Linked DNA regions of Macaca mulatta. The protein of the gene in region 3 purifies or fractionates together with the protein of the main gene of each other region. This does not show direct contact. Links are inferred from orthologs where the notes say so. Each region holds a gene or a part of one and is shown on either strand. Other genes may lie near its edges.

Evidence for each region. Proteins that work in one complex are often made in the same cells at the same time.
Region 1: the proteins of NF2 (region 3) and AMOTL1 purify together in Homo sapiens (affinity purification with mass spectrometry; 6 studies listed by BioGRID and IntAct, counting the BioPlex papers as one, with this or other methods). This does not show direct contact. The link is inferred for Macaca mulatta from reciprocal best matches to the Homo sapiens genes NF2 and AMOTL1.
Region 2: the proteins of NF2 (region 3) and AMOTL2 purify together in Homo sapiens (affinity purification with mass spectrometry; 5 studies listed by BioGRID and IntAct, with this or other methods). This does not show direct contact. The link is inferred for Macaca mulatta from reciprocal best matches to the Homo sapiens genes NF2 and AMOTL2.

What each region holds. Positions count from the first base shown.
Region 1 is NC_133419.1:95,656,639-95,660,306, reverse strand, and holds part of AMOTL1 (angiomotin-like protein 1), read right to left. Parts: intron 1,943-3,668; coding exon 1,817-1,942; intron 751-1,816; coding exon 524-750; intron 1-523. UniProt on the Homo sapiens protein: Inhibits the Wnt/beta-catenin signaling pathway, probably by recruiting CTNNB1 to recycling endosomes and hence preventing its translocation to the nucleus.
Region 2 is NC_133407.1:37,404,896-37,408,563, reverse strand, and holds part of AMOTL2 (angiomotin-like protein 2), read left to right. Parts: intron 1-2,725; coding exon 2,726-3,021; intron 3,022-3,668. UniProt on the Homo sapiens protein: Regulates the translocation of phosphorylated SRC to peripheral cell-matrix adhesion sites. Required for proper architecture of actin filaments.
Region 3 is NC_133415.1:21,874,616-21,878,283, reverse strand, and holds part of NF2 (merlin), read left to right. Parts: intron 1-2,731; coding exon 2,732-2,859; intron 2,860-3,668. UniProt on the Homo sapiens protein: Probable regulator of the Hippo/SWH (Sav/Wts/Hpo) signaling pathway, a signaling pathway that plays a pivotal role in tumor suppression by restricting proliferation and promoting apoptosis.

The sequences.
Region 1 (3,668 bases), on a different chromosome or scaffold from region 3:
GCCCATGCAACAATACAGCAAAAACTTATCACCCCCACCTTATGCGAGACAGCACTTCTTCCAATGTCCTCTCCCCATTATCCCATTCTTCCCTCCCATGCCCCATGGGGTAAAGCAGGCAGACACTGTCCTCCCTTTCTAGACATGGAAGCAGAGGTGGAGCCGTCATACAACTGGTCTAGAGCACAGCCAAGTTCAGAGGTGTGAGGTCTCTAGGCTTTTCCATGACAGCCTTTTGTGTTACAAGGGTCACCTCAACTTATAACAATAATAGATAATTATGATCTGAGTCAACCCATGGCTAAGAGCTACTCCAGTGGTGCAGTCTTTAGAATGTACACAGTGCTTCCACATATCTCACTGAATTTCTATAACTGAAGTATGATTGATTTCCCTCCCCACTTCACAGATGAGTAAACTGAGACCAGGAACTATTCAGGGACATTTCCATGTCCCATGAGTGGCAGAGAAGCTGTCTGATCTTGCTTTTCCAATCATGGCCTGACAGAGGTGTGGGGCCCACCTATGCTCCCCTTCCAGGTCTTCTCTTCCTTCTTTTCCTCGGCCAGCTGGCTGCTGGTAAGAGAGGTCTGGCGAGAGTGTGTCCCAGTAGCTGCTGCTATGGATGGAACGGAGCGGGCAGGACGTAGGCTGGAGGAGTCTGTCTTCCCAGCATCTTTACGAGATCGCTGCTGCAGGACCTTAATCATAGCATCTTTCTCTATGATTTTGGCATGGAGATTTTTAATACTGTAAAACAAAACAAAACAGTCTTCATAAAAAGCCACTTGGCTAGAAAAACTTGAAACATTTATCTCAGGCTGTCCCAAGGACTTTAATTGTAATTTAGGGATAGAGGATGAAGCACAGTACGAGTCTTCAAATGTTGGTAATCTCCAAATTGTTAAGACAGGTCTTTGGTCATAGGTCAAAAGAGTACACCCTTCTCTGGCACCTTGGGAGACTGGGACTTCAGGGAGGTACGGTTAGAATGACTGGCCACATTCCTGGACCGAAGTGGGCTGGGGACCATATTTAGAGGGTCTAGCATTGGCGGCGGGGGCTGGGGGTAGGTAGGGGATAGGGAAGCATAAAAACTCTAAAGCCTCAAACAGGGTGAGCTTTCAACTAAAGTCAATTTCTCTATTTTCTAAGAAAAAAGAACCAAGATGAACAGGTCCTCTGGTAGAAGACGATTTTTCTGGAAGAATGCTGAGTTATTTTCACAACTTTGATAGTAACTCACTGAGCCTGTCTATCAATGGCTCAACTACTCAGCCCTATTTTCACATCTGCAAAATACGAGGCCTAGGGCTCCCAGGGTTCCACAAGCCCTCAGGTAGTGAAGTGGGACAGGCTAATTTTATTATGTCAAAAAGTCTGCTGGAAATTTTGTATAGCCCATCAGAAGAGTGCATTAGCTAAATATGTTCTTTATTTTGGACTGGAATATATAAATTCTGGCTCAAAAACTCTGAACCTTCGGAATATAATGTTTCCCCTTTTCAGCTCATAATGTCACAGACACCAAGAAATAACACAGACATCTAAATTCTTCTGTCACTAGACTCAGCCTGCATCTTAAAACCTGCAGGTGACATGCAATTTCCCCCAGACAACTCTGGCACCGGACCCATTGCTGAGTGGAACCTTTTGCTTCTCTCCATGGCACGGCAGGGGGGAGGAGAGTTTTGGGAGACCTCATGTTCACAGCCTTTCAGAACATGACAGAGAAGCAATCTGTTCTGGAAGGCCTGGAGTGTGAATGCAAACATGGGCTGGCAGGTCCCACGTGCCACACCTAGCCATCCCTTACGTGTATTCCATGTCCTGACACCTTCTGTTGGCCTGCACCACCTCCTCCTCCTCTTGCCAGATGTGGGCCTCCAGAGAGCTCTCTCCGTAGCTGCCATTCCGTGAGTGGTTGATGATTGTGGTGTCCCTGGCAACACAAGGATATGTGTTTGATCACGGGAAACCTTCTTGCTTTGTCTCAATGCAAACAGACACAGAACGGAGAGGCTGGTGTTCATGCTGGAACAGAGATCAGCTCTGCATCTCCCACTGGCCCATGAAGGCCTTCCCTCCCAATTTCCTCAGCTCAGTTATCAATCTCATCTGATGCCCATACAGAGAAAGGTGTAAATGCTTGTGGAGAGGTGACCACAGGGTGCTGTGCTAAAACTCCACAAATTCCTTCACCCACTTTTCCTCTCCTGAATTCTGTCCAATTCTCTTCCTAAACTAGATAGAATTAAGCAGTATCTAAGGAAAACAAAAAAAATTCAAAAATCAAGTCCCCTCTGCCCTGTGACTACATTATGTATTTAACTACATGGCATGTTATGAATATGTAAAACGGGCACCTAGAGATTTAATCTACTAACATATAGACTCTATTATTATTATTATTATTATAATATTTGTTGGTATTTCCATGGTTGTACTTTTTCATGCTTGTCCTATGCCTCACCTTTCCCATCAGAGTTTAGGTTTTATTTCTGTTTATCGCCCATATAGCATAGAATGCCTACTTCAGTATTTTACAGTAAAATGGGGGCTCAGTAAATACTTAAAACTGAGACTGGTCCTCTCAGAGAGTGAGGCTCCAAGCTGAGGTCTTCGTTCATGTTGTATTCTGTCTCACTTCTTGTTTTATGGGCCCTGCCTGGGATGCAGGTCAGGACAAGGTAACAGGCATCCCAGGGCCCAGGGCAGAAAGACGAAGGCAGACACTGTCCTTGACAAGTTCAGGTGAGGTGGGTGCAGTGAGGGCAAGGGCAGACACAAGTAAATTAAGAAGCAGTTTCACTGCAAGCATCTGTCTGACTATAAACAACCAGTCACAGATAACTATTCCTGCCACTGGTTTTGACAATTGCTGCTAACTAACAATGATTAGTAAAAATAAGATCACTGCGTCATCTAAGTGATATATCTCAAGATGAAAGGCACAATAATGGCTCTGACTACATGAGTACCTAATTAGTAAGACATAATGTAGCCAAGTATTTCACATCTTTTTAACTTCATGTTCCAATGTACAATCATACTGAAAAACTTTTTTTTTTTTTTTTTTTTGAGGTGGAGTTTTATTCTTGTTGCCCAGACTAGAGTGCAGTGGCACGATCTCAGCTCACTGCAACCTCCGCCTCCTGAGTTCAAGCGATTCTCCTGTCTCAGTCATCCAAGTAGCTGGGATTACAGACATGCATCACCACATCTGGCTAATTTTGTATTTTTAGTAGAGACGGGGTTTCACCATGTTGGTCAGGCTGGTCTCAAACTCCTGACCTCAGGTGATTCAACTGCCTTGGCTTACCAGAGTGCTGGGATTACAGATGTGAGCCACCGTGACCGGCCTGAAAACTTTAAAGCTTTTTTTTTTTTTTTTTTTTTTAACAGAATAACCCAAAACAGAAAAATTGAGGCCCCTTTAATGACAGCTATCAGCTTCACACAGGGACTGGGTAGGGCATGGTACACATGGTCTCTCATTTAGTTCTCCCAACTTGTGCACGAAGTATTATTATCCTCAATTTCTAGATGAAGAAACCAGGGTTAGGTGACATTGCCAAGAATACTCAGTTAGTGAATAGTGAAAATTGATTCTAACTCAGGTATTTATGACTCCAAAGTCCATGCCCCTAACCATCACTCTATACTCC
Region 2 (3,668 bases), on a different chromosome or scaffold from region 3:
TGGGAAGGAGTCAAAGGGAATGAGGGAGAAAGGGGATGGGGCAGCCCTGGGGTTTCCCTGAGGAGTCTGGGGAGGAGAAGCTGCAAGGGCAAGGCAGATTAGGGTGCCTGTGGAGGAAGGCGGACTTTTGGGGCCTGGCTCTGCCAAAGAAAGGAAGCCATGGGGCGGGTTTCTGGGAGCTTGCTAGCGGGTGAGAAGAGGGGGGCCGGCCGGGAGGCGTTTCCGCTCCCCGGGGAGCGAGTGAGCGCCGGGCTGTTCTTGGCTCCTCGCTGGAGCCATTAATCTCGCAGCCGCGGGTGACCTGGATGCCTGGCATTCCAGAGCCGCGAGCTGTTCCGCTCCCGGCCCGCCCCCCGCCGCTCCCTCCCGTGCGCGCTGCCTGGCGCCCTTCGCCCGGCTTTGGGAGGAGGGAGGGTGAGCACAAAGGGAGCCTGGAACGCGGAGGTGGGGGCTCGCTCGCTGCCCAGGGCGCATCCCGGGTCCCCTCGGCGCCTCGCCTGCCTTCCTGCCCGCCTCCGCTGGCCTCCGGGCGTCCTCTTCCCACCGGCACCCGGGCCACTTAATTCTTACTGAGGAGCTCTCCTTCCCGAGATCCCACAGGCCCAGGGCTTTATCAGGGTCCTGTTGGCAGGGGATGGCCAGAGCCCAAAGCCTCCCAGCCCCCACCAAGGCCTTAGAGATTGGACAAAGCTGCAGGAAGCCTCTGGAAGCAGAAGGCTGGGTCCGCTGGCCCCTCCTCCCTCCCCTAGGGTTGGGGAAACCCAGGCAGCTCTTCCTTGCTCCGTAGTAGCTATTGCAAAGGCAGGAAAGATGTGTCTGATTGACCTCCCTTTTATCTGGGGTCAGTCAACACTAGGAAAGTGTGGCCATTATCATCAATGCCATCTGCTTTTCCTCCTAGGCAAGCCACGCAGCCCCCCAGCACTGCCTTTCTGGCCCCTCTAGGCCAGCCGTTCCCCCTGGGGATCTGGCCTTGAGGCCTGAAGCCGGCCTGTTAGCTCCACCCCCTTGAGAATGTTTCTCTTCTCCCTGCGTCTCAGGTTCTCCAGCTATAAGATGAGGCAGTCCTTCCCCACAGAGTCACGCTAAGGCTGAAATGAGATGCAGGCCCTGGGCAAACTGTGAACGCACAGGTGGAGTAGGGGAGGGTCCTCCCTGCCTGAGTCCAAACCTGGCTGCTCCTCCACCCCACTCAATGGATTTCAAGCCAGCGAAGTATGAACACATACGTTTCAATATTATTGGACTTCCCCTTATTTTCCTCCATGCCACAGAATGATACCGTCCTGGGCTCAGCCTTCAAAAATCCAAAACGAACCAAGAGCTAACCTGAGTTGCCTCTGTGTCCTCCTTGCCCTGCCCCAGGGCCCTGAGTAAATGAATCCTCCCTTCCGCATGCCAAGGTCTCAAGCCTTCACTCTTCTGTTCCAGAACTTGTACTGTCCTATATCATAGGTGCTTAGCTACATGTGGCCCAAGAATTGAAGTTAATGAAAACAAATAAAATTTAAAATTCAGTTCTTCCATCTTACTGGCCACATTTCCAGTCCTCAGTAGCACGTGTGTCTAGTAGCCACTGCATTGGAGGGTGCAGTATAGAACAGTTCCACTCTGGCAGAAAATTCCACTGAATCAGAATGCTGTTCTAGAGACAGTGCCTTTAGGTTCACTAGCGGGGGCCCACAGCCCTGCCCCGCCTCCTGCTCTCCAGCAAGGTAGGCAGCTGACCCACTCCTCAGGGGGCAGCCTGGGACTCTCAAGGGGCAGGTGCCTGGGAGGTGGATTTAAGGCTAGAGCATCAGATGGAGGGCTCTGTGGTCTGGTTTGGGCCTTTCCTGGCCATGCTGAGAGGGCCTCTGAGCAGAGTTTCTTTGGGTAATTAACAAAATGATACAAAAGTCAGGATAGCTGGACCCTTACACACTAATCCTTGTGCCATAGTCATTTTCATTGTGCTGCAGACTTTGCATTTCTTCCTGAGCCTGGTTGCTTGCATCTCAGTGATCTTTTCAGACCATGGAGGGAAATGTAGCCCTCAACGGACCTCTCGGCCTGGGTCTGCAGAAGGAGCCCCAGAGCTCTGGGTGGCCTCTAAGTACAAACGCCTCACCACGTAGCCAGAGGCAGCCTGGGCCTTTGTAGTGTGGCCAGCTGGAGTTTCCATTTGGCAGCACCATTCACCTCCTATGTTCCTCCGCTATAAGTTGGGAATCCCAAATCCTACCTGGAGGGGCTGGAGGATTCATGGAATAAGATGTGTAAGTGCCTGGTGTGTGGACAGCAGATGGTGGTTCTGTTCCCTCTTCCTTCATTCTCCCACTTGAAGGAGGACCATGTCACAGACCACCTGAGCCTCTGTTTTCTCATCTGTACACAGGCATCACAGTTCCTACCTCAGCAGTCTCTAGCCGTCACAAGGTTCAAGGGATATTGTGGATGTGTTTTAGACATGGTGGCCCCCGGCACAAGTGGATGGTGTTTGGGGCTGTCCCATGGCAGTGTGTCCCAGTAGAAAGGCAGGGTAGCCCAGTTGTTTACTCCTGACTTAAACCTGAGCCTCGGTTTCTTCTTCCATGAAACAGGGTTAATAAGGGTACCTTATTCGTGTTACTGTTGAGAGAATGAGAAGCAACTGTGCTCATCCAGTGGTCAGCACAGAGCCCAGGAGGCAATGGCGCCAGCCAATGTAGTCACTGTCACTGATCAAGCCTCTCTCTCCCTACAGGCTACGAGCAGCAGCAGGAGCAAGAGAAGCTGGAGCGAGAGATGGCACTGCTGCGCGGTGCCATCGAGGACCAGCGGCGGCGTGCCGAGCTGCTGGAGCAGGCTCTGGGCAATGCGCAGGGCCGGGCGGCTCGAGCCGAAGAGGAGCTGCGCAAGAAGCAGGCCTATGTGGAGAAAGTGGAGCGGCTGCAACAGGCACTCGGGCAGCTGCAGGCAGCCTGTGAGAAGCGGGAACAGCTGGAGCTGCGTCTGAGGACTCGTCTGGAGCAGGAACTCAAGGCTCTGCGTGCACAGCAGGTGAGCTGAGAAAACCTGTGCAGGTGTCCAGGCTAGGGCAGCATCTGAGGATGTCAGCTTCCCTTCGTCCTCGGGGACTGTAGGTTTGGAGGCCAGGGCTGAGGCCCCAGGAGCCCCTAGTTAGATCTAGGCTGCAGGCCCCTTGCAGGGCGGCAAGGATGATTGCTCTCTGCTCCACCTTTGCTGCGTGCTCCCTTCCACTTGTCGTCTTAGCAGAGGCCCTGCCACCTGGCCCACATCCAGCCTCAGGGGACTCCTGTCCTCGGCAGCAGCAGGGTATATTGTCCTTGACCTCTAGAGAAAGTAAGTTAGGAACCTGGATATAGAAGGCCCTCGAGCTTTTTTTTGTTTGTTTTTTTGAGATGGAGTCTCACTCTGTTGCCCAGGCTGGAGTGCAGTGGCGCAATCTCCGCTCACTGCAACTTCCGCCTCCCAGGTTCAAGCGATTCTCCTGCCTCAACCTCCTGAGTAGCTGGGACTACAGGCACGTGCCACCACGCCCAGCTAATTTTTGTATTTTTAGTAGAGATGGGGTTTCACCATATTGGCCAGGCTGGTCTTAAACCCCTGACCTCATGTCATCCACCAGCCTTGGCCTCCCAAAGTGCTGAGATTACAGGCATGAGCCACTGCGCCCAGCCACCAGC
Region 3 (3,668 bases):
AGTGCCACACAGTTGGAAGTCTCTGTCCTGACAGGTGTTCTCAGGGTGCACAGGTGCCTAGAGGAGGAGGACACAGCCCAGCCTGGAGGGGCAGGAGAGGCTCAATATGGTGTCTACACTGATGCTTGAAGGAGGAGCAGGAAGTAGCCAGGTAGAGAAGAGAACATAGGGTAGTTAGGGTGAGGGCACAGATGCACACACATGGCCCAGACTCACACACAGCACAGTCATCTACATGGCACATCCATACACACAGCACAGACACACACATGTAGCCATACATATATTCATGTACATGGCACATCCACACACACAGCACGGACACACACACGTACCCATACTTACATTCAAGCACATGGTACAGGCACATACATGACCCAGATGCACACAGGGCACCAGAGCCACAAGCTGCCCAGGGTTTGAGGTGGGGAAAACGTAAGCAGTTTGCTGTTGCCGTATATCCTGGTTCTCTGTTACTATGTAACAACCCACCCAAGCCAACTGTGTGGCCGAAACAACCCTTTATTATACCTCTGGTGGCTTGTTGGGTTGACTGGGCCAGACAGAGATCCTTGCTGGGGATCTCTCTGGTGGTCACAGTCAGATGGTAGCTGGGACTGGAGTCGTCTGAGCACTCAGCTGGGCTGAACACCTGAGATGTGTGTTTTGTTTTTATTTTTTATTTTGTTTATTATTATTATTATTATTTTTTGAGAGAGAGAGAGTTTTATTTACTCTGTCACCCAGGCTGGAATGCAGTGGCAAAATCTCGGCTCACTGCAACCTCCGCCTGGTAGGCTCAAGCGATCCTCCCGCCCCAGTCTCCTGAGTAGCTGGGACCACAGGCATGTGCCACCACGCCCAGCTAATTTTTTTTTTTTTTTTTGGTAGGGACAGGGTTTTGCCATATTGCCCCAGCTGGTCTCAAACTTCAGAGCTTAAGTGATCTGCCTGCCTCAGCTTCCCAAAGTGCTGGGATTATAGGCATGAGCCACTGTGCCCAGCCTCTATGTGTTGTTTTTAAAATATACACTGGAGCAAAGCTTATACACTGCTGTAACTGCTCTCTCCTCTTAGCAGTCAATCCTGGAGGAGATCATCCATATCAGCTTTTTAATCATGTTTTGTTGTGCGGATGGATTGCAGTTCATTTAACCAGTCCCTCACGGATGAGTATTTAGTCTGTTTTCTTTTGCAATTTTGAACAAAATGGCACTGAACATCCCTGAACACAAATCTTGACACACACAAGTGAATATATTGGTAGAATAAATTCTAATAATAGAACCGTGGGGTCAAATTTTCAATTTTGATACTCTTCAAAGAAGTTGTACCAGTTCATGCTCTCACTGATGGTGCAGCAACTAGTACTGGTTTTTGCTGGAAATTTTTATGAAGTATAGCATACATGTAGAGAAGTGCCCAGATTACAACTGTACAGCTTGAAGAATTTTCACAAACTGAACATACCTATGTACCCAGCACCCAGATCAGAAGACAGGACATCCCTGGCACCCCAGGAGCTGTCTCTCAGCACCCCTGCAGACAGTCTGCCTCAGGCCTTGAGAATGTCTCAAATGAATGTTCCAAGCCTCTGCTCTTTCCCAGACAGTGTCCTGGACTCAGTACGGGATCCAAGGATGAAAAAGAGGCAGATTGTTTGCAGGAAACTTGCAAATAGTAGAAAGAAGATACAGCCAAAAAGAAATCTTTTACAGGGTGGAATTGCAGAAGAACCATTAGAGAACTGTAAACACAGCATTAAGGGACAGTAAAGAAAAGGGTTGCCGGCTGGCTGGGAGGGGCTAGAAAGGCTTTGGTGAGAGATCATGGTGTTTGAGAAGGGCCTTGAAAGAGCGATGGAGCATAGGGAGGAGAAATGGGATAGGCAGGGGTACAGAGATGGGAAGGCAGTAGTCCAGGGGATAATAAACAATACTGACTGTGACTTAGTAGGGCAAATAGTAGGAGAAGCCAGGGAGCTAGATTGGGGCCCTCTTTAGATGACCCTTTGTTCTGGGATGAAAGTCAGAAACAAAAACCAAAAAAAACTACACCACCCCTGCTTCAAGACCTACTCCGGTTCCATTGTCCAATCCCAAGCCCCTTGGTGGGCAGGTGGAGCCCTTTGTGGTGGTGCCCATCTCCCACCCCACCTCTCCATACTGTATGGCAGACTCCTGGCACCCTCGCTGGGCAGTGCCCCACCCATTGCCATACCTCCCACCTGGCAAACCTTCTCGTGGCACTGTCTTGGATCCCAGCAAAAGCAGCATCTCTTCTAGCCTCTGTTCGCTCCCTGGCTACAGTGTTTACCTTTTTTAACAGTGATGATCTGTGAACACATCTATTTCCTGAACACAACTTTCAGCTGCTCAAAGCCAAGGATGCTGTCTTGTTTTCTGCATCTCCAGCCCCTCTCACAGGGCCCGGGAGTTTCCTAAATGAAAAAGCGAGTGGGAGTTTGTGTTTGATTCAGCTGAGCGTGAAGAACGGTTAGAGATTTGAGGGGTGAGGGATGACTTTCCTGGATTTGTAGTCTTTGGTATTGTTCACCTGGCAGTGGCAAATGTGGAGGGATTGAAGTGGAGGGGCTCATAGTGGCATTGGGAGATAGGACCTGAGTTGTGCCTATCGCCGCTGTGGCTGCTGGAGGATCAGTTGTCAACACAGTAGTGCCCCTCTGTTCTTGTATGACCCAAGCTCCTAATCCGAAATTTCTCATTAATAGCCCATGAACCCAATTCCAGCACCGTTGCCTCCTGACATACCAAGCTTCAACCTCATTGGTGACAGCCTGTCTTTCGACTTCAAGGATACTGACATGAAGCGACTTTCCATGGAGATAGAGAAAGAAAAGTATGTAGCCCCCTGTGCCCTGCTGTGGGCAGCCATGAACCAGAGTGAGTGATTGGGGCCTTGGGAAGCTGGGGCAGAGGTGAGGGGTTGCTGAAACAGCCTGTCATTAGCTCCTACAAAGGTTTGCTCTGCTCTTACCTGCTGGAGGAAGAATTTCCTTAATTGGAAATTAAGGGACAACAGATCAGCATTCATTCTGAATGAATAAAAATAACACTTGACTAGTGACCTGGAGTTTATGATGGCTCTAAACCTCACTTAAAGTGTAGGACTGGGTTGTTAGCATCTCTGAGTCAGTTCAACTGCTGTTATACTACTGGACTGTAGTCGCCTCCTAGTTGAGTTTTCCAGTGACTGGGATCTACGGTGGTTCCCTTGTCTAGAACAAAGAAAGATTAGAGAAGAGACTCAGGCTCAAGGCTAAGGAAAGCTGACAGCTGGTGGGGCCACTTTGCTGCAGTGGATGGCACTGGGCAGGGCCCCAGCATGGGCTGATCATGGCAGCTTTTGCTGAACTGCCCTCCATCTTCCCTTTATGGTGGGTAGAAGTGGATCAGAGATGGAAAGGAAAGGATCCCCACTGCAGAGGAAGTCTAAGCAAGGGCCCCTAGTTCCCAGAGCTAGTGGTAAGTTGGTTAACTGCCACTGCTTGCCGGAGGACAACCACAGCAGCTACCATGCATTGAGTGCCTGTGTGTCAGGGTTTTTGGCTTTTGTCTCATTTAATTCCTACTAACTGACAAACATCAAACTGACATCAAAGGTAGGTTTTCATGTTCCCATTTTATAAGGGAGAATTCAGATTTAGA